Anolis sagrei: one gene and its partners. The protein of the gene in region 2 purifies or fractionates together with the protein of the main gene of each other region. This does not show direct contact. Links are inferred from orthologs where the notes say so. Each region holds a gene or a part of one and is shown on either strand. Other genes may lie near its edges.

What was found.
Region 1: the proteins of FBL (region 2) and NOLC1 fractionate together in Homo sapiens (co-fractionation; 3 studies listed by BioGRID, with this or other methods). This does not show direct contact. The link is inferred for Anolis sagrei from reciprocal best matches to the Homo sapiens genes FBL and NOLC1.
Region 3: the proteins of FBL (region 2) and DDX24 purify together in Homo sapiens (affinity purification with mass spectrometry; 3 studies listed by BioGRID and IntAct, with this or other methods). This does not show direct contact. The link is inferred for Anolis sagrei from reciprocal best matches to the Homo sapiens genes FBL and DDX24.
Region 4: the proteins of FBL (region 2) and SIRT7 purify together in Homo sapiens (affinity purification with mass spectrometry; 3 studies listed by BioGRID, with this or other methods). This does not show direct contact. The link is inferred for Anolis sagrei from reciprocal best matches to the Homo sapiens genes FBL and SIRT7.

Annotation. Positions count from the first base shown.
Region 1 is NC_090023.1:147,385,011-147,392,605, forward strand, and holds the start of NOLC1 (nucleolar and coiled-body phosphoprotein 1), read right to left. Parts: upstream 3,025-7,595; 5' UTR 3,000-3,024; coding exon 2,886-2,999; intron 1-2,885. UniProt on the Homo sapiens protein: Nucleolar protein that acts as a regulator of RNA polymerase I by connecting RNA polymerase I with enzymes responsible for ribosomal processing and modification.
Region 2 is NC_090034.1:87,654,759-87,661,903, forward strand, and holds the start of FBL (rRNA 2'-O-methyltransferase fibrillarin), read right to left. Parts: upstream 3,023-7,145; 5' UTR 2,908-3,022; coding exon 2,898-2,907; intron 2,782-2,897; coding exon 2,695-2,781; intron 1-2,694.
Region 3 is NC_090021.1:317,347,359-317,354,935, forward strand, and holds the start of DDX24 (ATP-dependent RNA helicase DDX24), read right to left. Parts: upstream 3,003-7,577; 5' UTR 2,933-3,002; intron 1-2,932. UniProt on the Homo sapiens protein: ATP-dependent RNA helicase that plays a role in various aspects of RNA metabolism including pre-mRNA splicing and is thereby involved in different biological processes such as cell cycle regulation or innate immunity.
Region 4 is NC_090022.1:113,750,495-113,757,355, reverse strand, and holds the start of SIRT7 (NAD-dependent protein deacetylase sirtuin-7), read left to right. Parts: upstream 1-3,850; 5' UTR 3,851-4,016; coding exon 4,017-4,112; intron 4,113-5,537; coding exon 5,538-5,675; intron 5,676-6,861. UniProt on the Homo sapiens protein: NAD-dependent protein-lysine deacylase that can act both as a deacetylase or deacylase (desuccinylase, depropionylase, deglutarylase and dedecanoylase), depending on the context. Specifically mediates deacetylation of histone H3 at 'Lys-18' (H3K18Ac).

The DNA of each region.
Region 1 (7,595 bases), on a different chromosome or scaffold from region 2:
TCTAATGATTTCAGGTATTTGATGGGCTCTGTACCAATGTATACATTCATAGCAATTCGGTTAAATACACAGGCAAATTTAATACATATGTCTTAACTAATGTGGTAAGACTATTCATAGACAGGAAAGTTATCTAGCAGTAAAATAGACACAAAAGTAAACAGGGCAAAATATGTGCTTGAGTACATGGTGGGAGTTTCACATGATTATGGCAAGATGCCTCTCCCAGCAAACACACTGCCCTGCAACATAAGGCCTAATGATATGCTATCCATTTTGGAATTATGTTTCAGATTTGTTTCCAAGTCAAAATGGTTAGTAAAATCTCATAACTCATTAAACCACTTGTAAGTTTTTGTGCGATTGTAACATGCTGCCATCGTGGAATATACTGCTTTGAAATTAGGTTCGTTTGAAAAATCCTGTATGTCTTCCCAGATTTCCTTTCAAGTTAATCTTAATATTACACACACACAGCTATTCACGTTTTCCTAGATTATGGGATATAAATTCTCATATTCCTAGAATAGTGCATACAACTCCATATAGGATCTCTGTATGGGACTCTTACAGCAATGCTGCTGAAACCGTAATAGGGATGAGAAAATGTGACATGGGGCCCTTCCACGCAGCCCTATATTCCAGAATATCAAGGCAGAAAATCCCACATTATCTGAGCGTGGACTCACATAACCCAGCTCAAAGCAGACATTGTGGGATTTGATATTCTGGGATATAGGGCTGTGTGGAAGGGCCCATGGTGGAGCCTCCTAAGTAAATTTTACATCAAAGCAGCATGCCAAAACAGCAACACTTCTCCATAATGTTACAGAATCACAAAGGTTTCAATAATCAGAGCAAATAACTGTTTCGGACATGCATTCAGAAGGATCTTCTTTATTGCAACTGTTGTCTTGTTGCCAACACACTTGCATCACAGGCCCTTTCAGGCTTCTTAGGGCCCTTCCACACAGCCATGTAACCCAGAATATCAAGGCAGGTAATCCACAATATCTGCTTTGAACTGGGTTATCTGAGACCACACTGCCATATAATGCAGTTCAATGTGGATTTTATACAATTGCATGGAAGGGTCCTTAGTGAGACAAAGCCAAACCTTTGGTTTTTCTTACTTACACACTGACCTCCATATCCAAGCTATGTCTGAAATCTACAGCCCCCTTCAAGCCACTCATACGACTTATATTAAGCTAGTTTCTGTGAATGTTTCTCCATTGATTTATATCCCTATTTACTCAAATAATAATAAAAATAATAATAATAATAATAATGGATCGTCGATGTTGCAATCCCAGGCGACAGCAGGATTGAAGAGAAACAACTGGAAAAGCTGACATGATATGAGGATTTAAAGATCGAACTGCAAAAACTCTGGCACAAGCCAGTCAAGGTGGTCCCAGGGGTGATCAGCACACTGGGTGCAGTGCCTAAAGACCTAAAGACCTGGGTGCAGTGCCTAAAGGCACTGGGTGCAGTGCCTAAAGACAATCAGCGCTGACAAAATTACCATCTGCCAGCTGGAGAAGGCCACCTTACTGGGATCTGCATACATTATTTGTCGATACATCATACAGTCCTAGACACTTGGGAAGTGGGTTGTTGTAGGTTTTTTTCGCGCTATATGGCCACGGTTTAGAGGCATTCTCTCCTGATGTTTCGCCTGCATCTATGGCAAGCATCCTCAGAGGTAGTAAGGTCTGTTGGAACTAGGAAAAGGGGTTTATATATCTGTGGAATGACCAGGGTGGGACAAAGGACTCTTGTCTGCTGGAGCTAGGTGTGAATGTTTCAACTGACCACTTTGATTATCATATAATTGCCTGACAGTGCCTGGAGCAAACCTCTGTTGAGAGGTGATTAGATGTCCAGTTTTCTCCAGCAGACAAGAGTCCTTTGTCCCACCCTGGTCATTCCACAGATAAATAAACCAATTTTCCTAGTTCCAACAGACCTCACAACCTCTAAGGATGCTTGCCATAGATGCAGGCGAAACATCAGGTGAGAATGCCTCTAGACACGGCCATATAGCCCGAAAAAACCTACAACAACCCAGTGATTCCGGCCATGAAAGCCTTCGACAATACACTTGGGAAGTGTCTGACGTGTGATCCAATACAACAGCCAGCAGAGTGATCTTGTCTGCTGTGGACTCATCTTGTTGTGTTTCAAAGAATAATAATAATAAACTTTATTTATACCCCACCATCTCCCCAAAGGGAACTCACGGCAGCTAACATGAGGTCAAGCCCAGAATTACAGTACAACAAAATAAAATATAAACAGCTAATATCAAATTAAAATGCATAAATTGAAATAAACTGATGCAAAATAACACCTTTTTTTTTACATAATTACCTCTACAAAATAAGGCTGCACATTAGAGGACCCTTCCACACAGCCTTATATTCCAGACTATCAAGGCAGAATAATCCACAATATCTGTTTTGAACTGGGTTATCTGAGTCCACACTGCCATATATCCCAGTTCAAAGCAGATAATGTGGGATTTTATTCAGCTGTGTGGAAGGGGCCCTACTGTTGGAAGCTTTGGTGTTTTTACACATTCTTTTAAAGCAGCAATGCTAAGCAGACAGCCACTGTAATATATCCTAAAGGAGGCCTCCTCCAACTGGGGCCCTCCAGCTGTTGAGGCCTCCAACCCCGAGAAGCCCTTGCAAGTTCAATGGCCAGGTATTCTGGGAGTTGGAAGCCCAACTGGACCTGGTCTCGCCTGGCCTTCCCTGCGGATCAGGGCGCCCCTCAGGAGGGAGGCCCGGGTCCCACGTGGCGGAGCAGCCCTCCCCGCATGCAGCGCCCCTCCGGAGAGCGACAGGGCCCGGCCTCGCCCCCCACAAGGCCCTCACCACGCCGGCCGCCTTCCCGAACGCGCGCGCCGCCCCGTCGAAGTGGTTCTCCCTCAGGAAGGCCAAGACCAGCGGGAAGAGGTCGCTGGGCACCACACGCGTCTTCGCCGCCATCTTGCCGCCGGAAAAGGACGCAGCCCCGCCCCCTGCCCCGCCCACGAACCTTGGAAAGGAGCGGTTGGTTGGGAGGAGAACATAGAGATAGAAATAGTTAAAAGAGACCTCACGCTCTGAACTTCCGGCTGTGCGAGTTCAAAACCATGGTCATCATTAAGGACCTTTCACACAGCCCTATATCTCAGAATATCAAGTCAGAAAATTATCTCTGTATGGACTCAGATAACCCATTTTAAAGCAGATATTGTGGGATTTTCTGCCTTGATATTCTGGGATATAGGACTGTGTAGAAGGGGCCTTAGAGGTTAGTTTGAATCTACACATACAATGCACTTTAACTGCATTTAACTGCATTAGTAAAGTTTGTCCCCTGACATTAAGTCCAGTCATGTCTGACTCTGGGGTGTGGTGCTCATCTCCATTTCTAAGCCAAAGAGCCAGCGTTGTCCGTAGACACCTCCAAGGTCATGTGGCCGGCATGACTGCATGGAGCGCCATTACCTTCCCGCCGGAGCGGTACCTATTGATCTACTCACATTTGCATGTTTTCGAACTGCTAGGTTGGCAGAAGCTAGGGCTGACAGCGGAAGCTCACATTGCTCCCCAAATTCGAACCTGCGACCTTTCAGTCAACAAGCTCAGCAGCTCAGCGCTTTAACCCACTGCGCCACCGGGGAACTGCATTATAGAGGTCTATACCCCTGATTTCCAACGTGGGCCACATGCTCCACATACATTTGATTTGTAAGGGGGCAATTCGAGAAAGAATTATATTAAATGACCAAAGTATTACAGAAAAACCTTCCATTTACATTTATACTTAATCATTTTGGTCCTCTATTACATGTTTTGGAGTTATATTTGTTTTTTCCCATATTATTATGTTAACGATTTTATAGTGATTTCTTCCTCAGAATTTCAACTGTCTGTTCATTATTTGGCTTTTCTCTTTCATGAAGGCCATGTTCTTTGGAAGCTTGATTAGACCGAGTTAATGGCATTTTCTGTCCCTTCCAAACAGCTGGATTATATGGCAGTGTGGACTCAGATAACCCAGTTCAAAGCAGATATTGTGGGATTTTCTGCCTTGATATTTTCGGTTATATGGATGCGTGGAAGGGCCCTGAGTCTACACTACCTTATATTCCAGTTCAAAGCAGAAAATGTGGGATTTTATTCAGCTGTGTGGATGGGGTTGTAGTCGAAGGTGACCCCCCCCCCCCCACTTCCAATAAAAGATAGTTTATAATCAGGGAATGCATAGTTTTGTCACTAAGGAGGTTGTTCAGACCTTGAACCGGTGCTTGGTTGCTGTGTTGGACAGGATGAGGGCTAACAAATTGAAATTGAATCCAGACAAGACAGAGGTCCTCCTGGTCAGTCGAAAGACCGAACAGGACATAGGGTTACAGCCTGTGTTGGACGCGGTTACACTCCCTCTGAAAACGCAGGTTCACAGCTTGGGAGTGATCCTGGATTCATCGCTGAGCATGGAAACCCAGGTTTTGGCGGTGGACACGGGAGCTTTTGCAGTTAAAACTCATGCACCAGCTGCGCCTGTACCTTGGGAAGTCTGATCTGGCCACGGTGGTCCACACTCTGGTTACATCCCGAATAAATTTCTGCAAAGGGGCTGCCTTTGAAGACAGTTTGGAAACTTCAGTTAGTTCAACAAGCAGCAGCCAGATTACTAACTGGGGTGGCATACAGGGAGCATACCATCCCCCTGTTATGCCAGCTCCACTGGCTGCCGGAACATCTCCGAGCCCAATTCAAAGTGCTGGTTTTGACCTATAAAGCTCTATACGGTTCGGGCCCAGCTTACTTGTCTGAACGCATCTGCCCCTATGTCCCACCTCACAATTTAAGATCATCTGGGGAGGCCCTGCTCTTGCTCCCGTCAACAGTGCAAATGCAGCTGGCAGGGACAAGGAGCAGGGCCTTCTCGGCTGTGGCCCCCCGCCTATGGAACACACTCCCAAAGGAGGTAAGATCTGCTCCCTCGCTCCTGACCTTTAGAAAAAAATTAAAATCATGGTTCTCGGACCAGGCCTTCAAACAATAGATGTATGCAGCTTTTAGTGGAACCAGGACTGGAACGGTGACTCGACTGATTAGATTGTTTTATGGTTTTAATAGCTGTTTTGATATTTGGGGATGTACCGTTTTTAATATGATTTATGTTTAAAGTGTGGTTTTACTATTGTAGTTGTAAGGCATTTACTTTTTGCCATTATCTATGTGTAAACCGCTTTGAGTCCCCCTAGGAGTGAGAAAAGCGGTATATAAATACTGTAAATAAATAAATAAATAAATATTCTGTGATATAGGGCTGTGTGGAAGGGCGCCTAATCTTCTCTAATGGTCACAGAACAGTCATTTTGATTGAAAAATGCTTGCGTAGGATCACATGAACTATTTACCCTTATTGTTGTTCTAAATCAGTTGGAGCAAAATTCTATACTAACTCTTATACTTCAGATGAGTCCTTCAGTAGGTTTATTTCTGGGTAGAGATACACAGAAGAACACAATGTCTCTGTCAAAGAAAGGAAAGCTTGGCTTTGCATAGGACTGGGACAGAGAAGTTACTTTTCTGTTACTAAATTATTTGAAATTTTGTTACCTGTCTTGTATTGCTCTTTACCCCAGTCCCCCTGAGACCAATCAGGAAGGTGGCTTTTCAATCTGGCAGTACAATTGTAATTGACAAAATTTCAGACGCCCCTTCTACACCGCCATATAATCCAGATTATCAAAGCAGATATCTTTGAACCCGATTATATGAGTCTATATTGCCATATAATCCAGTTAAAATCAGATAATCTGGATTTTCTATGACAGTGTAGAAGGGGTCTGAGACTGTAACATAATCACAATTTTCTCCTCTATGATTTTCACAGCTTTGCCTGATGAAGAAGTCATGAAGCTTTGGCCCCTTTACACTGCCGTTTAAAATCCAGATTGTCTGTTTTAAATTGGATTATATGGCAGTGCAAATTCATATAATCCAGTTGAAATCTGGATGTGTTTTGACAATCTGGATGATATGTCAGTGTAGAAGGGGCCTTTGGCCCCTTCTGTACAGGCCCGATCTCCCAGGGTCTGACCGCAGGTTTTCTGCTTTAAACTGGATTATATGAATCCGCCCTGCCAGATAATCTGGGATAAACAGGAAAACTGGGACCAGATCCTGAGATATAGGGCCTGTCTGGAAGGGCCTTTGAAAACTTGTGAACATTTTCTGGATGCCACCTGGTGGCTGTATTAGGCTTTTAAACAAACCTATCACATAATGTTTGCAGTGGACTCTGCAGAAAGTGCTTCAGCAGTACTCCACAAAAAGGAAAAACAGCCTCTTTAGTATGCCTTGCAACTGATGATTTATATTGAATACATGCTTGACTTGTATACCTATTTTATATACCTACTAGCTGTACCCGCCACACGTTGCTGTGACTAACCTTCCCTCCCTCTTCCTCTTTTTTCTTTCTCTACTTCCTTCCTTCTCTCCCTCTTTCCTTCCTCCTCTTTTTTCTTTCTTTCTTGCTCTCCTTCCCACCTTCTCTTCCTCTTCCCTTCCTTCCTCTCACCTTTTCTTTCCCTTCCTCTTTCCCTCCTTTCTTCCTTCTCTACCTATTCTTGGACTGCAACTCCCAACAGTCCTCCTGATCCATCTACCTACCTACCTATCTCCATCTAATCTATCTATCTGGAGGATTGCTGGGAGTTGCAATCCAGTAATAGGAAATTGGAAATATGCAGGGATTAGGATGCTCTCAAAGAAATCCAAGGAGAAGAAAGCTTGCAGCTTGGAAGCAGTGCATTTGGATCATCCTCCTCTCCTAAAGGGTCTGGTCTAGGGGATGTTGGGAACTGTAGTCTGGAAGAGGGTTTGGATATGCTATTGTGTGTTTTGTTTGCCAAGGGGAGTCACTTTTGCACATGTAGCGTTTTTTTGCTTTTTTGGCTTTTCAAGTCCCTGTGTTTTTCAGTGTTTTTATGTCTGATGGTCACTTGTTGGCCTGATAAGTATATTGTGTCCAAATGTGGTGTCAATTCATCCAGTGGTTTTTGAGATATGTTAATCCCACAAACAAACATTATATTTTTATTTATATAGATATATGTGAAATCACATAAAGATTTTTTGGGAGGAACAGGTTGTGAGTGGGAAAAGTTTAAGAAGGCCTGATATAAAGCATCACTGCTAGTACTGTTGAGTTTAGTGGAACTTACCTACATACAGACTGGCCTGTAAGGGATTCACTTGCCCAGCCTGATGTTATGGTCCGGTCAAGATGACTACCTGCAGCTATGACTTTCCTGTGGGGAGCAGTACATGGTACCTGACTAACCATGGAAAGGAAACAAGAAAGAGTACCACAGGGATTAGCAGAGCAAACAAAGAGATTCATGCCACAATTATATAATGAGGAACTCACGGGGTCTGTAAGGGAAGGTCTACTGCTCATGGTTTTCCTTTCTGGTATAAACCACCTGCACGGTAGGAGGGCTAGTTCTGCTTTCCACTACTCAATGTGACGTGCAAGAAAACATAATGGAGAGTCGCTCAGGTACTTCCCTGCAAGAG
Region 2 (7,145 bases):
TCTATGGAGATTTTTAAAACAGAAACTGGATAGTCATCTGCCGGGGGTGCTTTGATTGGGTGTTCCTGCATGGCAAGGGGTGGGAATGGATGGCTCTTGTGATCTCTTCCAACTCCAATTATTCAATGCTTTAAAACACATATAATTCCAATACCACTAAAAATTTAAATTAAATTCGCATTTGCAGTAGCATTTGCAAGGAAGCAAGACTGAGAGCAGGCCTTCCCAGACGATCTTAATCTCTGAGGTGGTTCATAGAGAGAGATATGATCGGACAGGTAAGCTGGAACTGTTTAGAGCTTTATACGCTAAAGCCAGCACTTTGAATTATGGTTGGTAGCAGACTGGCAGCCAGTGGAGCTGGTGCAACAATATTCTCCTCAAACAATTTGGAACCTTGGGGTAGCTTCTTAAGCTTGTCCAAATAGCACAAAGAATATCCTGATTCCAGAAATCTTATCTTCCCTAAATATCAGCTAACTCAAGCATGGACAAAGTTGAAGTCCAAAACACCAAACAGGTGTTTTGGACTACAACTCCCATAATTCGTAACAGCCTACCCTTACGAAATGTGGGAGTTGAAGTCCAAAACACCTGGCGGGCCTAAGTTTGCCCATGCCTGAGCAAGTTGTTGTTCAGATGGAGCTATGAATTCACAAGTGTTTTTCTTTTTCCATGTTCTCAATCTTTTGTCATTTTTGAAAAAACTAGGACACAATGGAGAAATAGCTTCAAATGGCAGACAAAAACCTAACTACCTTCGTGACTGCATTTCCTTCCACGAACCTACACAACCCCTTCGATCTTCCGGAGGGCCCTTCTCTTGCTCCCGCCTCCATCGCAAGCGCGACTTGTGGGGATGAGGAAAAGGGCCTTGTCTATAGTGGCCCCTCGGCTTTGGAACTCGCTCCCCGGAGAAATTAGGCAAGCGCCCACCCTGGCAGTCTTCAGGAAGAGCCTAAAAACTTGGCTGTTCCAGTGTGCCTTCAATGAATGATCAACAATCCCTGACCTTGACCAAACCCTGCATAAAATGCCCTCGGATGCACTTTATTTTATCCTCCTGGAACACCTCAGCAAACGAGAGTTCAAAAGTGGCAGGCTCAAACCCAGCACCTCAATCCATGGGTGATACCAGATGAGAGACTCCCCCCTGGGTACACAGAAGACTGGGCGACTTGGAAGGCGCTGAACAGACTGCGCTCTGGCACCACGAGATGCAGAGACAATCTTAAGAAATGGGGCTAAAAAGTTGAATCCACGACATGCGAGTGTGGAGAGGAGCAAACCACAGACGACCTGCTGCAATGCAACCTGAGCCCTGCCACATGCACGATGGAGGACCTTCTTGTGGCAACACCAGAGGCACTCCAAGTGGCCAGATACTGGTCAAAGGACATTTAATCAGCTACCAAGTTTGCAAAATTTGTGTTTTTTTTATCTGTTTGTTTGTTTTGTCCTGTTAGAAATGTAATACAATGTTCTGGTTGCAGATGACACGATAAATAAATATCCTCCAGTGCAATTAAACCCCATTGTTTCGTCCCATCAGATCCTCCTTCCAGATACACTACACTGCTCATCCCACCCAGTGTTTTAAATCTTTTTAACTTTGCAACTGGCCCTGCCCACTGTGCCCAATTATTGTGCTTTTAATTTGCACCGTGTGTGTTACTTTGTAATGCTTCTTGTATTTTATTTTCATTATATTTTTACTGTTGTATTTTTATGTTGTATACTTGCACTGTTGTAATTGTTGGGCTTGGCCTCATGGAAGCCGCCTCGAGTCCCCTTGGGGAGATGGTGGCGGGGTATAAAGTTTTATAATAATAATAATAATAATAATAACACGAGGAAGAACTTTCTGCCGGTTACTGCTCCTACTACAAACTTGGGAGTAATCCAAAAAAGGAACTTCTGGCAGCTTCTTGTATTTTATTTTCATTATAGTATTTTTATGTTGTATATTTGCACTGTTGTAATTGTTGGGCTTAGCCTCATGTAAGGCGCCCCGAGTCCCCTTGGGGAGATGGTGGCGGGGTATAAAGTTTCCAAGTTACCTATCCGATCGCATCTCCACCTACAAACCCACTAGGACTTTGAGATCTTCCGGGGAGGCCCTGCTCTCGATCCCGCCTGCAACACAGGCACGGCTGGCGGGTACGAGAGACAGGGCCTTCTCGGTGGTGGCCCCTCGGCTGTGAAATGCCCTTCCCACGGACATTAGATTGGCTCCCTCTTTGATGGTTTTCCGGGGAAAAGTGAAAACCTGGCTATTTGAACAGGCGCTTGAATAAGCAGTGCAATGACTTCAGGAAATGGAACCACGACTGACGAGTTTGGATCATGATTGTAGTTATGAGGCACCACTTGAATGTTTATTACTGTTAAATTGTTTAATTTGTTTCTGTGTTAATTGTTTTTAAGTATCTTGTTGATGCCGCATTGAATTTTTGCCTGATTGTTTGCCTTGTTCTTGCTTGATTGTTGTAAACCGCCATGAGTCGCCTTAGGGCTGAGAATAGCGGTATACAAATGAAGTAAATACATAATTAATAAATAAAGAAGAAGAAGAAGAATTAAACACGAGGAAGAACTTTCTGCAGGTTTCTGCGCCTACTACAAACTTGGGAGTAATCCAAAAAAGGAACTTCTGGCAGCTTGGACTGAAAATAAACCGAGCGTGAAACCCACCTCGACCTCCTCGGAAGCCTCCGCGTCCACGATCCCCGAAGCCGCCGCGTCCTCCGCGGTCCCCACGTCCCCCGCGAGGGCTGAAACCTGCAGGACGAGCACAAGGTAGACGTCAGGCCGGGCTCCGGGCGGCCTCTCGGGCCCTCCCTCCCTCCCTCCGGCCTTAAGGGCTCCCCTCCTTCCTTCCCTCTCCTCGCTCTCACCGGGCCTCATCTTGCTTGCCGATCACAGACCGCACGAACGCCACACGCGCCTGAAATTCCAAGACCGGAAGTGCAAGCACGCAGAGCCCCACGCGCTCAGGATCCCTTGGCGCACCGGAAGTGCGTGAGCAGGCCGGGGAGGGGGCGGGGTAACGTAAGCCCGCCTCAACTGACGTCGAGCATTCTACGCATGCGCTGTGCGGGCTTTCAATTCCAGGCCTTTTCGCTGCCGTTTGCTTGTTGAAGTCGGCGCCATCTTTGTTCCGTTTCCAGCTGGAAGGTCAGATTAGGCCCATGGCTGTTTGTGTCTGCTCTGGCGCTTCTGTGAATACAAGGCGCCTCCACAGAGAAATGGAAAACTGTAGCGACATTTACAAAATGTCCGTTATTATAATAACTTTGGCTAGTTTCACTATCTGAGGGGGAGGCCACAAGGAGGCGCCAGAGAGAGAGAGAAGGAGAACCCATTTTCCAAGGGAGGGAGGGGCTGAAGGAGTGAAACCATTTCCTCGTTTTCCTGTTAATTCTCCCCACCCATGCTGCCATTTTGGAAACAACCAGCGCTTATGATATTGGAAAAGAAGGGATAACCAGAGAAAATGGAGAAAAAGAGCTGAACAAGTTCCTGGACCACCTCAGCAGCATCCACCCAAACATCCAATTCACTATGGAAAAAGAAAATGAAGGAAAACTGCCATTTCTAAATGTCATAGTAGTTATCTGCAAATTATTATTATTTTATTATTATTATTAAACTTTATTTGTACCCCGCTAGCATCTCCCGAAGGACTCGATGCGGCTTACAAAGGCCAAGGCCTCAACGCACAATACAACAATACAAACCAAAGGCAAATTAAAAACAATTAAAGCAATATAAATAAACAACAAGCAATAAACAATACACTAAGACACAATAAAACTGGGCCGGGCCAGAGTAATGGGTACAGGATTAAAAGTGCTGATGTGACAGGTGGTATATAAGGCTTATAGGGCAAGTGCAGTGTGCAGTAATCTTAGTTTTAATAAAGTGCTTCTGGGACTTGGTATTGGAGATTTCCTATTCTGGGAAGGCACATCGGAACAGCCAGGTCTTCAGGTTCTTTCTAAAGACTGCCAGTGTAGGGACCTGTCTAAGATCTTTGGGGAGGGTGTTCCAGAGTCGGGGGGCCACCACAGAAAAGGCCCTGTCTCGTGTCCCCACCAAACGCGCTTGCGACGCAGGCGGGATCATAAGCAGGGCCTCTCCAGCTGACCGAAGTGAGGGCGTGGGTTTGTAGACGGAGATGCGGTCACGCAGGTAGGATGGTCCCAAACCGTTCAGGGCTTTGTAGGTAAGCACCTGCACCTTAAATTGGGCTCAGAAAATAAACGGCAGCCAGTGGATCTCCTTGAACAGGAGGGTTGACCTCTCTCTGTAAGGGGCCCCAGTTAACATCCTGGCCGCTGCTCGTTGGACCAGTTGGAACTTCCGAGCCGTTTTCAAGGGCAGCCCCACGTAGAGCGCATTGCAGTAGTCCAATCTAGAGGTGACCAAGGCATGGACCACCCCGGCCAGATCAGCCTTCGCGAGGTACGGTTGCAAACCCAATCAATAGTTGAGTCACAGAGTTTACAGAAAACCCACACATATTGATGTTGTTGCTTATTTGTTCAGTCGCTTCCGACTCTTTGTGACCTCATGGACCAGCCTGTCAGCCGTCACCACCCCCAGTTCCTTCAGTCAAGCCAGTCACTTCAAGGATACCATCCATCCATCTTGCCCTTGATTGGCCCCTCTTCCTTTTTCCTTCCATTTTCCTCATTTCTATGAGTTCTATCTCATGGGGTTCAACATGCTCTTTGATTGTAGGTGAACTATAAATCCCAGTAACTACAACTCCCAAATGTCAAGGTCTATTTCCCCCAAACTCCATCTGTGTTCATATTTGGGCATATGGAATATTCGTGCCAAGTTTGGTCCAGATCCATCATTGTTTGAGTCCACAGTGCTCTCTGGATGGAGGTGAACTACAACTCCCAAACTCAAGGTCAATGCCCACCAAACCCTTCTAGTGTTTTCTGTTGGTCGTGGGAGTTTTGTGTGCCACGTTTGGTTCAATTCCACCATTGGTGGAGTTCAGAATGCTCTTTGATTGTAAGTAAACTATAAATCCCAGCAACTATAACTCCCAAATGATAAGCTCAATTTTTTGAGTGGTGGTCACTCATTGGCCTGATAGGTGTCTTGTGTTCAAATTTGGTGTCAATTCGTCCAGTGGTTTTTGAGTTAAGTTAATCCCACAAACGAACATTACATTTTTATTTATATAGAAGATATTGGGGAGAACTGGAGCTAAAGAGGCAGAGCAAGCAGGCAAATAAGTGTCATATCATTCAGAGGACCTCAAATCCTGAAATAATTAAACCATGGCTTCCAGAGTGTGACGGAGTATTTGTTGCCCCACTGCAGGAAGCACGATCAATACCAAGTGCTAGCACATATATTAATTTTGTTGTTGTTTATTTGTTCAGTTGCTTTCGACTCTTCGTGACCTCATGGACCAGCCCATGCCAGAGCTCCCTGTTGGCCGTCACCACCTCCAGCTCCTTCAGAGTCAAGCCAGTCACTTTAAGGATACCATCCATTCATCTTGCCCTTGGTTGGCCCCTCTTCCTTTTTCCTTCCATTTTCCCAGCATCATGATCTTCTCCAAGCTTTCCTCTCCTCTCCTTATGTGGCCAAAGTACTTCATCTTTGCCTCTAATATCCTTCCCTCCAGTGAGCAGTTGGAAGTATGGACTGGTTGGATCTTCTCGCGGTCCAAGGCACTCTCAGAACTTTCCTCCAACACCACAGTTCAAAAGCATCTATCTTCCTTCTATCAGCCTTCCTTATGGTCCAGCTCTCACATCCGTAGGTTACTACAGGGTATACCATTGCTTTAACTATGTGGATCTTGGTTGCCAGCGTGATGTCTCTACTCTTCACTATTTTATTGAGATTGGTCATTGCTTTCCTCCCAAGAAGTAAACGTCTTCTGATTTCCTGGCTGCAGTCTGCATCTGCAGTAATCTTTGCACCTAGAAATACAAAGTCTGTCACTGTCTCCACGTTTTCTCCCTCTATTTGCCATTTATCAATCAGTCCAGTTGCCAAAATCACACACAGATAGATACCTATATAAATACTCCAACCATCACCCAAGTCAAAAAAGAAGTGAAGGTGCACCGATGGGGGGGGGGGAGGGGGCACTCCAAATGCCCAAACTTAGGGGAGTTAATGTCAGGGGACAACCTTTACCTTTTACCTACACTTTTTAAAGTCTTTATAAACTTAAAATAAACCCTCCCCACACATATACACTACATAATCCTTTCCCTTAATAACCTTTCCCACACTGTTCTGTACAGTACATGTACTGTACCTGTTTCTTTTAAAACACTCCTGAATCTTCCGCATGGGTAGCTGTGCATGAGGTTTCCTCCTCCTCCCCCCCTTCCCCCGGGGCTCCCCGTACCTGCCTCCCTGTCAGTGCGGTGGCAAAGAAGGAAAGAAAGCAAGCCCTCCTCACCTTTCCCTTCACCAGGTGAAGAGAGAGAACGCAGGAAGGAAAGGCCCTTCAAGGGAGAAAGGACCGAGGAGGGAAAGTGTGTTGGAGAGCGAAGGCAGCAAAAACCCATGAAACAGCAAAAATACCGCGATATATATTTTAAATTAATATTTATTGAAAAACCGCAAAACAGCGAGTCCGCTAAAAGCAAACCGCGAAGTAGCGAGAGAACACTGTATCGACAAACATGCACATAGGAATGCAATCAAAGGTTTGTCTGCAGAGCTTTTATCATTTTTGGCATACACATTCTCATTGGTTCCCACAGACAAATCATTTCATTGGTCTAAGCTAGCTTTACAGCTGCTCATTGGTTGTTTATGATTTTGATTGACATATTATCACATGTGGGACCCTAACAACTATAGTACAACTATAGTCTATTGTTTCTGACCATGACTGCCTTAATGAATCAATCATATCTGTTAGTCTGTTTCAAACATAATTCCAGAGGGCCTGGTAAACTAGAGGGTTCTAGGTATCCACTAGCTAGCTGGTTTTGTCTGGATGTACTGTTACCCTTCGCAGCACGATTTTCTCAAACAGACAGCATTTTCTGTAAACAAAGGCCTACTGCAGAAACAGGCCAATATGGCAGTAAATCAAAACATATGGGCATTGGGAACATCTCTGAAAATTTCCTTTTAAAACTACATCT
Region 3 (7,577 bases), on a different chromosome or scaffold from region 2:
AACATTCAATTTAAAATCACACAACATCAGAAATGCAAAATGGACAGTTATAAACTAATTACCAGAAAAGAATTAATGTTAAAGTAATACAAAATACCCACTTAACTTTCAACATGAGTTTTGATTTACACTCTATTGTTACTATATGTCAATTCTGTATCTGCATTTGGTGCAAGTTTGTTATATTTTTGTGTTTTTAATCTACGTAATTAATTGTATGTGTTTTATGTTCATGTGTTTTTGACTTTGTTGTACCTGCCTTGAGCAATCAGAAAAGGTGGGCAATAAAAAATCCATTGTTATTATTCTCACTCCTGTTTGGATCTATTGTAGGGATAGGGCAAAAACCACATTCGCTTTTGCTTTAGCTAAGAAATAACAACATGATGAAAGCTTACACATTTATGTCTACATATATACAGTACCGTTCTTGCAATATTTGTGCAAAATTTTAGGGCTCTTAAAGAATGCAAAATTATAGTGCTGTGATTTCACTGAACATGCCATAGTTGCACCTATGGACTCGTGGTTTTTGTAGTTTAGGGAGGAGTTGTCAGTAAGACACTAGTTCTGGTGCTTAATGAACTGAAAATCCCAGGATTACACTCACAGAAATGAAAATGAAACGGATGCTTAAGAGCAGCTTAGAGCAACCCTAGGGTCCAACAAAAGCATGGGAGGGGTTCAGTGAAAAATCTTAAAATTCACATTTGAGAGGAATTTTAAAATAAAACTACAAAAGGCTAACTATTAGATTTACGGTCTCCATAATATTGATAGTAGTATCAGTTATGTAGTTACTGGCTACACATCTGAACAGGAGTGATTCATAGGCAACTGATTCCACATTTTTTAAAATTATTTTCTTTCTTGTTCTGTTTTTGATATGAAAGACATTTGGGGGCACTGGGATATTATTCATAAAAAATCAAGAGTAAAAAAATACTCAAAACCTAGATATGATTATTATATAAGAAATTAGGAAATGTGTTTAATTTAAGTGTAAAATCATCCAGAATATATTTTGATTAAACAAACCAGGGATAGGGTTCTGGTCGCTTCTGGTGAGTGTCGTGAGTTCTGGTGAGCTTCTGGTGAGTTCTGGTTTAGCATGGTGAGTGTGGAACATGTCACATTATCACAGGGTGTCTGTGCCGTGCACCACTGGAGAAATTACACTATTTAGCCGGTATTGCACCACTTGACATCCACCAGAAAGTAGCAACCAATAGTGAAAGGACCAAGGCAGTGACCTCTCCGGCCCATTCCCTGCTTGGATATCAGCCAGCACTCCAACAACCTAAATCAAGAAATAGTTTTTTTAAGATCTACAGATGCAATAACTGGAACACCTCAGCATTTTGTAGATATATGTTTTGATGTGTAACTTTTATGGAGGTATGTTTTAGTGTGTGTATTTGCAGTGTTTTTGCTGTGCTTATGTATTTTAAGTGTTTTGTAACCCGCTTTGAGCTACAGGGAGCTGGATAAGAAATAAAAATATTATTATTGTAAGTAATGTAGGCAAAAGTATGATAGTTCGGACCCAATGCTGGTTGCGTGATGCGAAGATGTTACGAATTTGAATGTGTTTGCATACGATATCCGGATAGCCTTAAGCACTATGCTTGGCTGCTTGTTGTCCCCCCTACTTTATGTCCCCCCCCCTTCCTGCTGAGCTAACTTGCCACGACTCTGTTGCACCTGTGTCTCTTACTCGCTGCGTTGTCTCAGCATTGGGTCCCAGCTATCATACTTTTGCCGTAACGCAGTTCAACTGCTATCGCTCAGTGTTATCGAATGGGATTTGTAGTTTGCTGAAGCAGCCACAGCTTTGGCAGAGAAAGCATCAGATCTTGCTAAATCCATAGCACTGAGTCATGGAAGTGAAAGTGGTCACAAACTGCATGAATTCTACAATGTTGATCAGGCATGGGCCAACTTCGGCCCTCCAAGTGTTTTTGGGCTGCAACTTCCACAATTCCTAACAGCCCTTGGGCTGTATTGTCAAAGGCTTTCATGGCCGGAATCACTGGTTTGTTGTTGGTTTTTTCGGGCTATATGGCCATGTTCTAGAGCAGTGGTTCTCAACCTGTGGGTCTCCAGGTGTTTTGGCCTACAACTCCCAGAAATCCCAGCCTGTTTACCAGCTGTTAGGATTTCTGGGAGTTGAAGGCCAAAACATCTGGGGACCCACAGGTTGAGAACCACTGTTGTAGGTTTTTTAGGGCGATATGGCCATGGTCTAGAGCAGTGGTTCTCAACCTGTGGGTCTCCAGGTGTTTTGGCCTACAACTCCCAGAAATCCCAGCCAGTTTACCAGCTGTTAGGATTTCTTGGGGTTGAAGGCCAAAACATCTGGGGACCCACAGGTTGAGAACCACTGTCCTAGAGGCATTCTCTCCTGACGTTTCAACTGCATCTATGGCAAGCATCCTCTGAGGTAGTGAGGTCTGAGGATGCTTGCCATAGATGCAGGCGAAACGTCAGGCGAGAATGCCTCTAGAACATGGCCATATAGCTGGAAAAAACCCACAACAACCCAGCACTTAGGCTGTTAGGAATTGTGGGAGTTGAAGTCCAAAACACCTGGAGGGCTGAAGTTGGCCCATGCCTAGTGTAGATGTGACTTTGATCTACCCACTATTTCTCAGGGTGCATCTACACCGTAAAATGAATATAGATTGATACCACTTTAAATGCCATGGCTCAAAGCTCCGGAAGCAGGGCAGCGGTCCTTTAAAAACGCTTAAGATGTATAGATGAAAAAAGAGTAAGTCTCCATAAGCAGGCAAGGCGAAAGAGCCTTTTACTGACTCCCTTCCGCCTTGCTTTCCTTTACAATGTTTCCGGACAGAAACCTTCACCTCCCTGCCTTGTATCTAGTCTCTCCGAAAGGTGCAATTACAGAACCGGCCCTTTTGGTACCAACCTTTTGGATCTTGAGCTCCTCCAGCTGCGGCGGCGCTTCCGGGAATGGCGGCCACGTGGGAGCCTATGGAGGCGGCCATGGCGCGTGACGTCAGTACCCTGCGCCCGGAAGTGTCAGCGCCTCCACTGTATTGCTGCTGCTTTTTACTCACCTCCTAGAGGGTGAATTAGCTAGACTGTGTGTCTCTCCCTCCCTGGCTGATAATAAAAAGAAGATGCGCAAGAGGATCACAAAAACAACAACAGAATCGAAAGACTATAAACAGGAAGGGTTAAAATAGTTTACATTGCACCCCACTCCCATCATTGGGTCATTATGCTTCACATCACAATCATAGAATCAAAGAGTTGGAAGAGACCTCATGGGCCATCCATTCCAACCCCATTCTGCCAAGAAGCAGGAATATTGCATTCAAATCACCCCTGACAGATGGCCATCCAGGCTCTGTTTAAAAGCCTCCAAAGAAGGAACCTCTACCACAGTGGTTCTCAACCTTGCTAATGCCGTGACCCCTTAATGCCGTTCCATATGTTGTGGTGACCCCCAACCATAATATTGTTTTCGTTGCTACTTGATACCTGTCATTTTAGTACTGTCATAAATCATAATGTAAATATCCGATATGCAGGATATATTTTCATTCACTGGACTAAATTGTGCACAAATACCCAATATACCCAAATGTGAATGCTAGTGGGGTTGGAGGGGGTGGGGGGTGGGGAGGATTGATTTTGTAATTTGGGAGTTGTAGTTGTTGGGATTTATAGTTCACCTATAATCAAAAAGCATTCTGAACTCCACCGGCGATGGATTTAAACCGAACTTGGCACAAAGAACTCCCATGACGAACAGAAAACACTGGAAGGGTTTTGTGGACATAGACCTTGAGTTTGGGAAGAACTTCCTGACTGTGAGAGCCATTCACCAGTGGAACTCTGCCCCGGAGTGTGGTGGAGGCTCCTTCTTTGGAAGCTTTTAAACAGGGGCTGGATGGCCATCTGTCAGGGGTGATTTGAATGCAATATTCCTGCTTCTTGGCAGAATGGGGTTGGACTGGATGGCCCATGAGGTCTCTTCCAACTCTTTGATTCTATGATTCTATGAGTTGTAGTTCACCTATATCCAGAGGAGCACTGAGGACTCAAACAAGGATGGATCTGGACCAAACTTGGCACAAATGCTCAATATGCCCAAATGGGAACACTGGTGGTGCTTGGGGGAAATAGACCTTGACATTTGGGAGTTGTAGTTGCTGGGATTTATAGTTCACCTACAATCAAAGAGCATTCTGAACTCGACCAACAATAGAATTGGGTCAAACTTCCCACACAGAATCCCAATGACCACCAGAAAATACTATGTTTTCTGATGGTCTTTGGCGACCCCTTTGACACCCCCTCACGACCCCCTCAGGGGTCCCGACCCCCAGGTTGAGAAACACTGCGTCTACCACACTCTGGGGCAGAGAGTTCCACTGCTGAACGGCTCTCACAGGAAGTTCCTCCTAATGTTCAAATGGAATCTTCTTTCTTGTAGTTTGAAGCCATTGTTTCGCGTCCCCGTCTCCAGGGAAGCGGAAAACAAGCTTGCTCCCTCCTCCCTATGACTTCCTTTCACTTATTTATACATGGCTATCATGTCTCAGCTTTCTCTTCTTCAGGCTAAACATGCCTAGCTTCTTAAGCCGGTCCTCATAGGGCTTGTTCTCCAGACCCTTGATCATTTTAGTCACCCTTCTCTGGACACACTCCAGCTTCTCAATATCTCTCTTCAATTGTGGCGCCCAGAATTGGACACAATATTCCAGGTGTGGTCTAACCAAGGCAGAATAGAGGGGTAGCATGACTTCCCTGGATCTAGACACTACACTCCTATTTATGCAGGCCAAAATCCCATTGGCTTTTTTTTGGCTCATGTTTAACTTGTTGTCCACGAGGACCCCAAGATCTTTTTCATACGTACTGTTTCGAGCCATGCTTCCCCCATTCTTTGCTATAAACAGGAAGGGTTGAAATAGTTTACATTGGACCCCACTCCTATCACAAGCTTACCCCATCATCAACAGGGCATATTGTCAAATATTTAAACATGGCTCGTCATGTCACCTTTTAACTACCTTTTCTCCAGTCAAAACATCTGCTCTTTAAACTGCTCCTCAATTTGGATGGTAAAACATCAAAACATCCAGGCGTCCCCTGGCAATGTCCTTGCAGACGGCCAACTCCCTCACACCAGAAGCGATTTGGAGTTTCTCAAGTCGCTCCTAACATGGAAAAAACAAAAACAAAACCATTTTCATTGCCCTTTTCTAGAAATATCCCAGTTTTGTATCATTTCCAGAGACTGAAAACTTTATAGACTACAGCTCACAGATTCCCCCAAAGTTCATTGGCTAGAGTGTTTGGTATTTGAAATATGACACATATGGAGGACTGAAAATTGAGAAACACTGTGAAAGAAAGTCCTTAATACACATCAGTGCTCTACGATTTGTGTAATCATCATTGGGCCTCAAACTGGTTTCAGGATTTCCTATGTAGTCATCTACACAGCAAAGCAACTTTTAAAAAATAGTTTGAAATGGACTTAAGTGGTCAGTGTAGATGGGCACTAAGTCTTGTTTGAAGATGCTGGGAATTTAATTTAGAACTGCTTGCCCTCCAAAATGTGTGCTATGGTGCAAGTTACAGTTCTTCTCTATAGAAACGTGTCTGAAAAATCTCTCTCTCTCTCTTTGCACAACTACTGTTCATAAAGGAGTCAAATTTTCTCTTGAAACAAAGCCCTTGACAACGTCTCAGTGTTAAAATTATACTAAAACTTCTGTAAGCACAAAAATTATATCTGTGGCTTAATCTACTTGTTCTGTCGCGCGCTGGGCCTGTAACAGCTGTCTTTTCTATAGGACGTATACTTTAAGCCCAGCGGGAAGCCAGGGCGCCTCAAAGAGAGGTTCTCAGGGATTTTTCTGAAGTAATGGTCTTTAGAGTCTTTAATGATACAACAAAGTCTTTATTGTGGAACAAACAACAAATCTTCAATGGTTCAAACAACACTTCAAGGCTTTCTTAGTCTAGTCTTCAATGGACTGGTACCTGACTTTGGTTAACTGAACTTTCTCTGTAGAAAAAAACCCTTTTTAACCTCTCCCAGGCTGCTTTCTATCTATGCCTCATCAGTGTGAGTCCTACTACCGATTCCAAATGCGTCTGGGTATCGAGTAGACCTACCAGCCGAGGCTGGAAGATATTTCAGCTGGAGTTCAGTGGATCTGTAATGCTGTCCTCCCTTCGAGAATTCTTTGAAACTTCAGGGCTGTTTTCCCTCTGTTGCTGTGAGGCTGAGAGCTCTCAGCCAGAGTTTTTGGGACCTTTTCCCTGGAATTTTTGTTTCTGTATCCCTGGATGTTCCTTTTCCCTGGATGCTCTTAAGATAAGAAGCTTTTCTATGGGATGAGCTGGTCTATGTCCTATAGTTTAGCTACCTTGTGTGAGACTGCCCAAAATGGCTCCTTTCCCTCCCAGAAGCCTGAACAAGGGGCGGAACCAAAGCTTAATTAAGATGGACAGGAGGCCTGCCCTATAACTGCAAACTTTAACAGAAATAAATAAAGTTGGAGCTCCTGGTACATCCGTACCAGCACACTACTTGTGTTAGCAGGAGAAGGGGAATTACCATATTTTCTGGCGTATAAGACGATGGGGCATATAAAATGACCCCCAGTTTTTCCAGTTAAAATATAGAGGTTGGGATATACTCGCTGTATAAGACTACTCCTCCAACGAACACCAAATATTTCTTTTTAAAAAACATCTGATTTGATTTCAATATGGTAATTTTCCTATTACCGTACTTCCTTCTCTGCCTCTCAGATCTCACACATGCGTGTCTGCTCAGCTTCACTGCACTCCTCAGGAGCAAGATCTGAGAGGCAGAGAAGGAGGTGCAGTAATAGGATACAAGGGCAGGCCAGACGGGTGAAAGAGGTGTGTTTTTCTGGGCACAGCACTGAGGTGTGTTTTTCTGGGCACAGGATGCCTGCAGCTTACCCTCCCTTCACTTACACTTCCCTAATGAGGCACCCCCTCGCCTTGTCATCGGGACTGCGTTAAGTCCCTTCTTTCCACGAATCTTGGTGAGTGGATTTTCTTATACCATACTTGCACAGCGCTGCCCTTGCTCCTTTCATACGGTTGCCGCTTACTGTGGGATGCGTCCGTGGCTGTTTTTGAGCTCCCTCACCATACATTAGTTGTAATGTATTGTTTTATATGATTGTGGGGCATTAAATCTTTGCCATTTATTATGTTGGAAACTGCTTTGAGTCCTCTTAGGGATTGAGAAAAGCAGTATAGAAATACAATAAATAAATAAATAAAATATGCAGCAACCACAGATTCTCCGGTCCGACTCGGAAGTTTCAGCATCCGCCCTATAAGACCACACTTGCCGTATAAGAAGACCCCCGACTTTTGAGAAGATTTTCCTGGGTCAAAAAGTAGTCTTATACGCCAGAAAATACAGTATCTCTCTAGGAATTTGCTAGGTCCTGCAAGTGATTCTGTAATATACCAAAAGTTGCAGGGGAGGACTTAGTAAATTCGTTGAGGTCCTTCAATTCTATAGTGCGTTGGGGCTGAGAGTG
Region 4 (6,861 bases), on a different chromosome or scaffold from region 2:
ACTTACCTGCTAAGTTAGGGACCAGAGCACTGTAAGAAAAGTGGAGTTGCTTGAAAAGTGGAGCCCAGGTTATTTTGGTTTGCAAAGCATTTTGGCCACTGAAAAGCTTAAACAACACATCCAGAAGAGTTTCTGCACACATTCAAAAGTTATTAAAGGAGTTGTGCATCAATAATAAAACATACGAGTATAAAAAGCAATTAATAAAATAATGATTAAACATTGTTTTTTCATAAAATAGTCCATTCATGAAATAGATGGTAACAACACTAAAACATCTGCACTAGGAAGTCTCTACATGCACCAAAAAAAAAACAAAAAAAAAAACGGTTGGCATTCGTCTAGTATCAGCGTTCAGAGCCAGCATTCTGAAAATCCTGTTTTGAACAACCTGAAGTGGACCATGATGGTCTTTCCAGATGAATTCAAAGACCTAACTGTGTGAGATACTCAGATTCCATGTTGCAGAAAGCTTTATAAACTGTTAACAAAACCTAAACATCCTGGTATCAAAGAGGCAGCCAATGCAAAAGCAAAGTATTCTGCACTGGCTGCAGCTCCAGACCAAGTTTAAGAGTAGCTTCATGTGGAGCTTAGGTTACCAATGTCAAGACCACTACCATCAGGCTTATTTGGTCTGGCTGAAGCCAGAGCATACCAGCTGATGGTGATAGAAGGATTACAGTGACAAAGGTGAAACACTTTCCACAATATTGGATTTCCATTTCAGGTATTGCATCTCTCAGCAAATTATACGTTATGCTTTATACCTGATAAATAGGATGTTCTTTCTTCAGTTTTGTCTGCTACCTAGAATTGCATTGGCCTCTCCATTGATGCCCAATAACTCTCCTGTATACTTTGTTGTGTTCTAAAAGAACATTTTGGTCTCATTGCCTTTGCATTTTTAAAGAGAAATCTGGGCTGGTTTTGTAGCCTTCGGGTATCTAATGCCTGTTTTTAGTTTGACAGAACAAAAATAGTGCAACAACATTTGCCCTACTAATACAAGGTCCTGTGCTGCCAGTGCTGAATTTAGGCCAATAATGTAATTTAAGTGGTGTGGAAGGGCAGTTGGGTCTTGTGTGAATGTGTACATTTCTTCACTGCAGAGGTCTAAGAAGACGAAGCACAACCACAGATATACTGTATCCCAGTAGTGCTATAGATGATTATGCTTTCTCATTCCCACCAACTGAGCTTGAGATGAGACTGAAAGAAGGGCCTCTCCTGAAGATCCCAATATGGGATGCGGTCAGCCAAATATCCTAGACCTGAACCGTCTAGGACTTTAAAGGTCATAACCAGCCTTTGAATTGTGCCTGGAAACAGACTGGCAGCCAGTGGAGCTGCTGCAACAGGGGAATTATCTGCTCTCTATAGGCAGCCCCAGTGAGCGGCTTGGCAGCAGCTCTTTGGACCAGATGAAGTTTCTGAGCATTCTTCAGAGGCAGCCCCATGTAGAGGGCGTTACAGTAATCCAGACGGGATGTAACCAAGGTGTGTACCATAGTGGCCAGATCTGGCTTCCAATGGCACAGGTGCAGTTGACACACAAGTTTTAATTGAGAAAAGGTCCTCCTAGCCATCGCAGATACCTGGGCCTCCAGGTTCAGTGCAGAGTCCAGGAGAACCCCCAAACTGCAGACCTGAGTCTTCAAGGGGACTGTGACCCCATCCAGCACAGGCTGGATCCATATTCCCTGATATGCCTTTCCACTGACCGGGACTACCTCTGTCTTGCCTGTATTAAGTTTCAGTTTGTTTGCCCTCATTCAGTCCCTTACTGATGACAGGCACTGGTTTAGGGTCAGAACAGCTTCCTTGGCATTAGGTGGAAAGGAGTAGTAGAGTTGGGCGACATCTGCATACTGGTGGCACCAAACTCCAAAACTCTGGGTGACCTCTCCCAGCGGTTTCATGTATATGTTCAACACCATGTGGGACAAAATGGAAACCAGATAACACGCAGTACATGTTAAAATTCCCTTTTCTACATAATAATTAAAAGCCCGGTAGCCACTCTGGCAATGGCCACACAAACCACAGAAGAGAGTGTTGCACATAGCTGTCTCTTCTTATCCAGCTAAGAAAAATGTATTAGGAACACCTAGGCCCCATCTACACGGGCTGTTAAGTGTAGTTTCAAAGTGGTATTGAAGAAAGTGGTTTTGCTGTGCAGATGATTACAGAGGAAGCCCTGGAACCAGTTTGCGGCCTGGAAGGTGATAGTACAAACCACAGAGCACTGGTGCACAATGGGAGCTTTCCTTTGCATGTTTTGGTGAAAACTTACCACCTGGCCACAGCAGTTTGAAGCTAGCGTTGAACTACATTAAATAGTTGGTAGACAGGAACATAGTGATCTTCCCTGCTCATATATATATAGAGAGAGGGAGAGATAGATAGATACAGTAGAGTCTTGCTTATCCAACCTTCACTCATCCAACGTTCTGTATTATCCAATGCAGTCTGTGTCCTGCCCCCACCCACAGCTGTTTTAATACACTGCAATGTTTTGGTGCTAAATTTGTAAATACAGTAATTACTACATAACGTTGCTGTGTATTGAACTGCTTTTTTTGTTGATTTGTTGTAAAACGTGATGTTTTGGTGCTTAATTTGTAAAATCATAATGTCATTTGATGTTTAATAGGCTTTTCCTTAATCCCTCATTTATTTATTTTATTGTGTCAGGAGCGAACCAAACAGTTGTCTTGCATTAAAACAAAGAAACAAAACACAAAATTTGCAAACTTTTATTAAATGTCCTTTGACCAGTAGCTGGCCACTTGGAGTGCCTCTGATGTTGCTATAAGAAGGTCCTCCATTGTGCATGTGGCAGGGCTCAGGCTGCATTGCAGTAGGTGGTCTGCTGTGGTTTGCTCTTCTCCACACTCCCATGTCGTGGATTCCACTTGCCTCAAAGCACATGTTTTTTTGGTGCTTAATTTGTAAAATCACAATGTAATTTGATGTTTAATAGGCTTTTCCTTAACCCCTCCTCCTTATTATCCAACATTTTCACTTATACAGTGTTCTGTGGATAAGCGAGACACTACTGTGTGTGTATACACACACACACACACACACACACACACGTAAGTTAAAATATGTATGTGTGTATATATGTGTGTATATGTACACCCTGTCCCCTAGGGCAGAGTACAAATAAAGTATTATTATTATTATTATTATTATTATTATTATTATTATTTGAAACAGAACAAGATGAGTCAACAGCAGAGATCATTCTGCTGGTTGTTGAATTGGATCACACGTCGGACACTTCTGGCGTGTCTAGGACTGTGTGATGTATCGATGAATAATGTGTGCAGATCCCAGTAAGGTTCCCTTTTGCGGCAGGCAGATGGTAATTTTGTCAGTGCTAATTGTGTTTAAGTGCAGGCCAAGGTCTTTAGGCACTGCACCCAGTGTGTCAATCATCACTGGGACCACCTTGACTAGCTTGTGCCACAGTCTTTACAGTTCGATTTTTAATTATTATTATTATTATTATTTTATTATTATTATTATTACTACATATTACGTGCAGCACTAAAGAGCCCAGGAATGCCCAAGACAGGTTCCCCTTGAGCTCTCCACTGTGAACAATACTTTTCCGGTGGTGTATCTAGACTGTAGAATGAATGCAGTTTGACACTGCTCTAACTGCCATGGCTCCAGAATGCGGGGAGTGGCGGGTCTTTCTCGGCCAGAGTGCGGGGCTGGGGCGGGGAGGGGGCGAGGCGGGCCAGTGGGCGGAGAGCGAGAAGCTTCCTCCGGGCGTCACAGAGAGGCGGCTGTCGCGCGAGCATTCTCCTCCTCGGCCGCCTTACGGTGGAAGCGCCATCCGACATTAGAGAAGCAAAGCCGTTCCCCTTTTGGACCGGAAGCGCCTCTGAGGACTGAGCAAAGACCACTCCAGCAGCCTGTGTGTCTGCTCTAGGAGGCCGGAAGCGGAAGTAGCGGGAACAGCCGCCGAGGCCGGCTGGCACCCGGAAGCGCCCGGGTTGATGGCGGCTGGTCGGAGTTTGAGCCGCTCCGAACGGAAAGCGGCGGCTCGGGCCGAGTTCCTCCGACAGGAAGAACAGCGGGAGCGGCGCAGACAGGTACAGCGGGGAGTGCCACTGAGGTACGAGGCCGGAGGGCAGAGGAGGAGGAGGGGGAGCGGGCACACGCCCCCTTCCCTGAGCGGGCCTTGTGCCCAACTGCCCGTGGTTCTGCCCGTCGTGCCGCTTTGTGCTGTGTGAAGAGGGGCGTATTTTACCAGTCCTCAATCTTCTGCCATTCTGCTTCAGTGTGACGTGAGAAGGGAAAGAGTGTCTTTCACTCTCTTTTCTGACCACTTAACCGTTATAGCTCCCCTTGCTGTCTCAATGTTACAGTCTTTGTTGTGTGTCTTTAAATTATTTTAATTCTTCACGATCCTGAGGTGGACCTTGTTCAGAGGGGCTTTGCCTTTGCTTGCCTCTGAGGCTGAGAGAGTGTGACTTGCCCAAGGTTTCCCTGGCCAAGCAAGGAACCAGATCCTGGTCTCACAGTGCCTCCGGCTGGTTCTACACTGCCATATAATACAGTTTGAACGGCATTGTATGGTCAGCGTAGAGCCATATACTGCATTTCAGTGCAGTTCAAACTGTGTTATATGGCACAGTAGAACCAGCTTCGGTCCATCACTCCACTCATAACCAAAACTAGTTCTTCAAAACCTTCCTGGTTTGTAAGCAGTGTTCTCAAATATTTCAGCATTGATACTGGCTAGTTCAGGGCTTATAGCTAAGTGTACTTAGCAGCAAGAATCATCCCCAAGGCCTCCTTTATGTAACAAGTTCTTATTAGAGTACACTCGCCTTTTAATACTTAATTGAAGAGTAATTTTAAAAATTGTGTGTAGGTGTTTGTAAGCAATTCTATTCAGTTATTTCTTGTTGATGCATAATGAAACAGTCCTCTGTTTCCTCAGAAATAAAGCCCACTAAATTATTCCCAAGCAAGTGTGTACATTGGGCCCTTGGTGTTTGATGTTTTGTCTTATGTGTTTGTGTTTATATGTTGGGTTGTTTAAATTTTGTCAGTATGGATGCAGTTGTTGTTGTATTCGGGCACTGAATGTTTGCCTTTTATGTTTGGAATCCACCCTCCCTTTGAGGAGATATAACAGAATATAAATAAAGTATTATTATTATTATTATTATTATTATTATTATTATTATTATTGGTGTCCAGTTGTGTTTGATTCCAGGACCCCTGTGGATCCCAAAATTCATGGGATGCGCAACTCTCGTTATACACAAAATGGCATTCCTTATATAAAATGCTGAACAACTCAAAGTGATTTCTAGAAGTGTTCCCCACTCACCCCCAAATATTTTCAAGCCATGGTTGATTGACTCTATGGATGTCATGGGAAGACTGTATAGAATTTTAGTTTCAGACTAACTACACACTCTACCCAGGATTTGTTGAGCTATTTCCACTCATGGGATGGCTTCTAATGAAAGTGTCCAGACACTTATCTTTTTGTTTAATCATAGGTGTCGCAAATTCTCCATAAGCCAGCCGCAGAAAGGAGCGCTGATGAGACTCTCTTTCTATCTGAGTGTCAAGAGATCGTACGAGATCTGGAACGGCTTCGCAAGAAACGTGAGCGATTGCAACACCGGCTGGAGGAAGTATGTATCCCTCTTATTTTACTACTATTAAGTATGTGCTTAGTATCTAAACCACTTACCACATCTTAAATGATGTAGCTGTGGTCAATAGAAGAGGAGAAAGAACGAGCTGCTTACCTGTATATGTTTCTTTGAGTGGTGATCTGCGAAATTCGCACATCTGGGTTTGTCCGCACATGCATGGTGCAATTCAGAACCTTCTAGATTTCTAAAATGAAACATTTTGGTGATAGCCCTGCCCACTCTCCCCATAGAGTGCAAGTATCCCAGGGCAGGGCTGAGCCTCCCATCTGCTAGACCAGCAGCTAAGGAGAAGGAGCATGCTAACAGCAGGGAAGATGGGCAGGAATGTGCGAATTTCACAGATCACTACTTGAAGAAACACGGTTACAAGTGAGCAACTCATCCTTCTTCGTAGTGTCTGTGAAATCACACATATGAGTGATTGGCAAGCTACTCCCCAAGGAAGGATCATGCCAGTGAAGGGAGAAGTACAGCTTTGCCAAAGGCCGCTTCCTTTATGTGCAAGGCATCTGGTGTGTAATGGCTGGCGAACCTGAGTGGAGTGGACCACGTCACCACCCGGCAGATGTCCTCTAGAGGGACTCCATGCAAAAAGGCTTGCAATGCAGCCATCGCCCTGACTTGAGTGAGCCTTGACTTGCTATGGTTGACAGCCAGCGAATCGACAAGGCGGACAAATCGTTGTCATGATCCAAGAGGAAAGACATTGCAAGGTGATTGGTTGGCTCAAAGCATGGCTGCGATACTTGAGAAATAATCTTGGTGATTTTCTGTGTGATGGTGTCCTATGGACATAGAAAACCAACAGTCTCCTCACATCCAAGGAATGAAGGGCCACTTCCAAGGCTGAAGAGTGATTTGGAAAGAACGCTGGCAAGATGATGTCTTGGCACATATGGAAGTGGGAGACGACTTTTGGTAAGTAGGTAATGTCCGTGCGAAGGACCACCTTGTCTTTGTGGAGATGAAGATGAGGCGGAGCTGCTTGCAATGCACACAGTTCGCAAGCACATCTAGCTGAAGTAATTGTGACCAGGAATGCCATCTTCCATGAAAGGAAGTTAGCTCAAATGGCAGCTTGGAGAGTTGGGGTAGAACCAGTTCCAGATTTCATGTCAGGAGTGGGGGTGTGACTGGTAGATGTATATTCTTGTCACCTTTG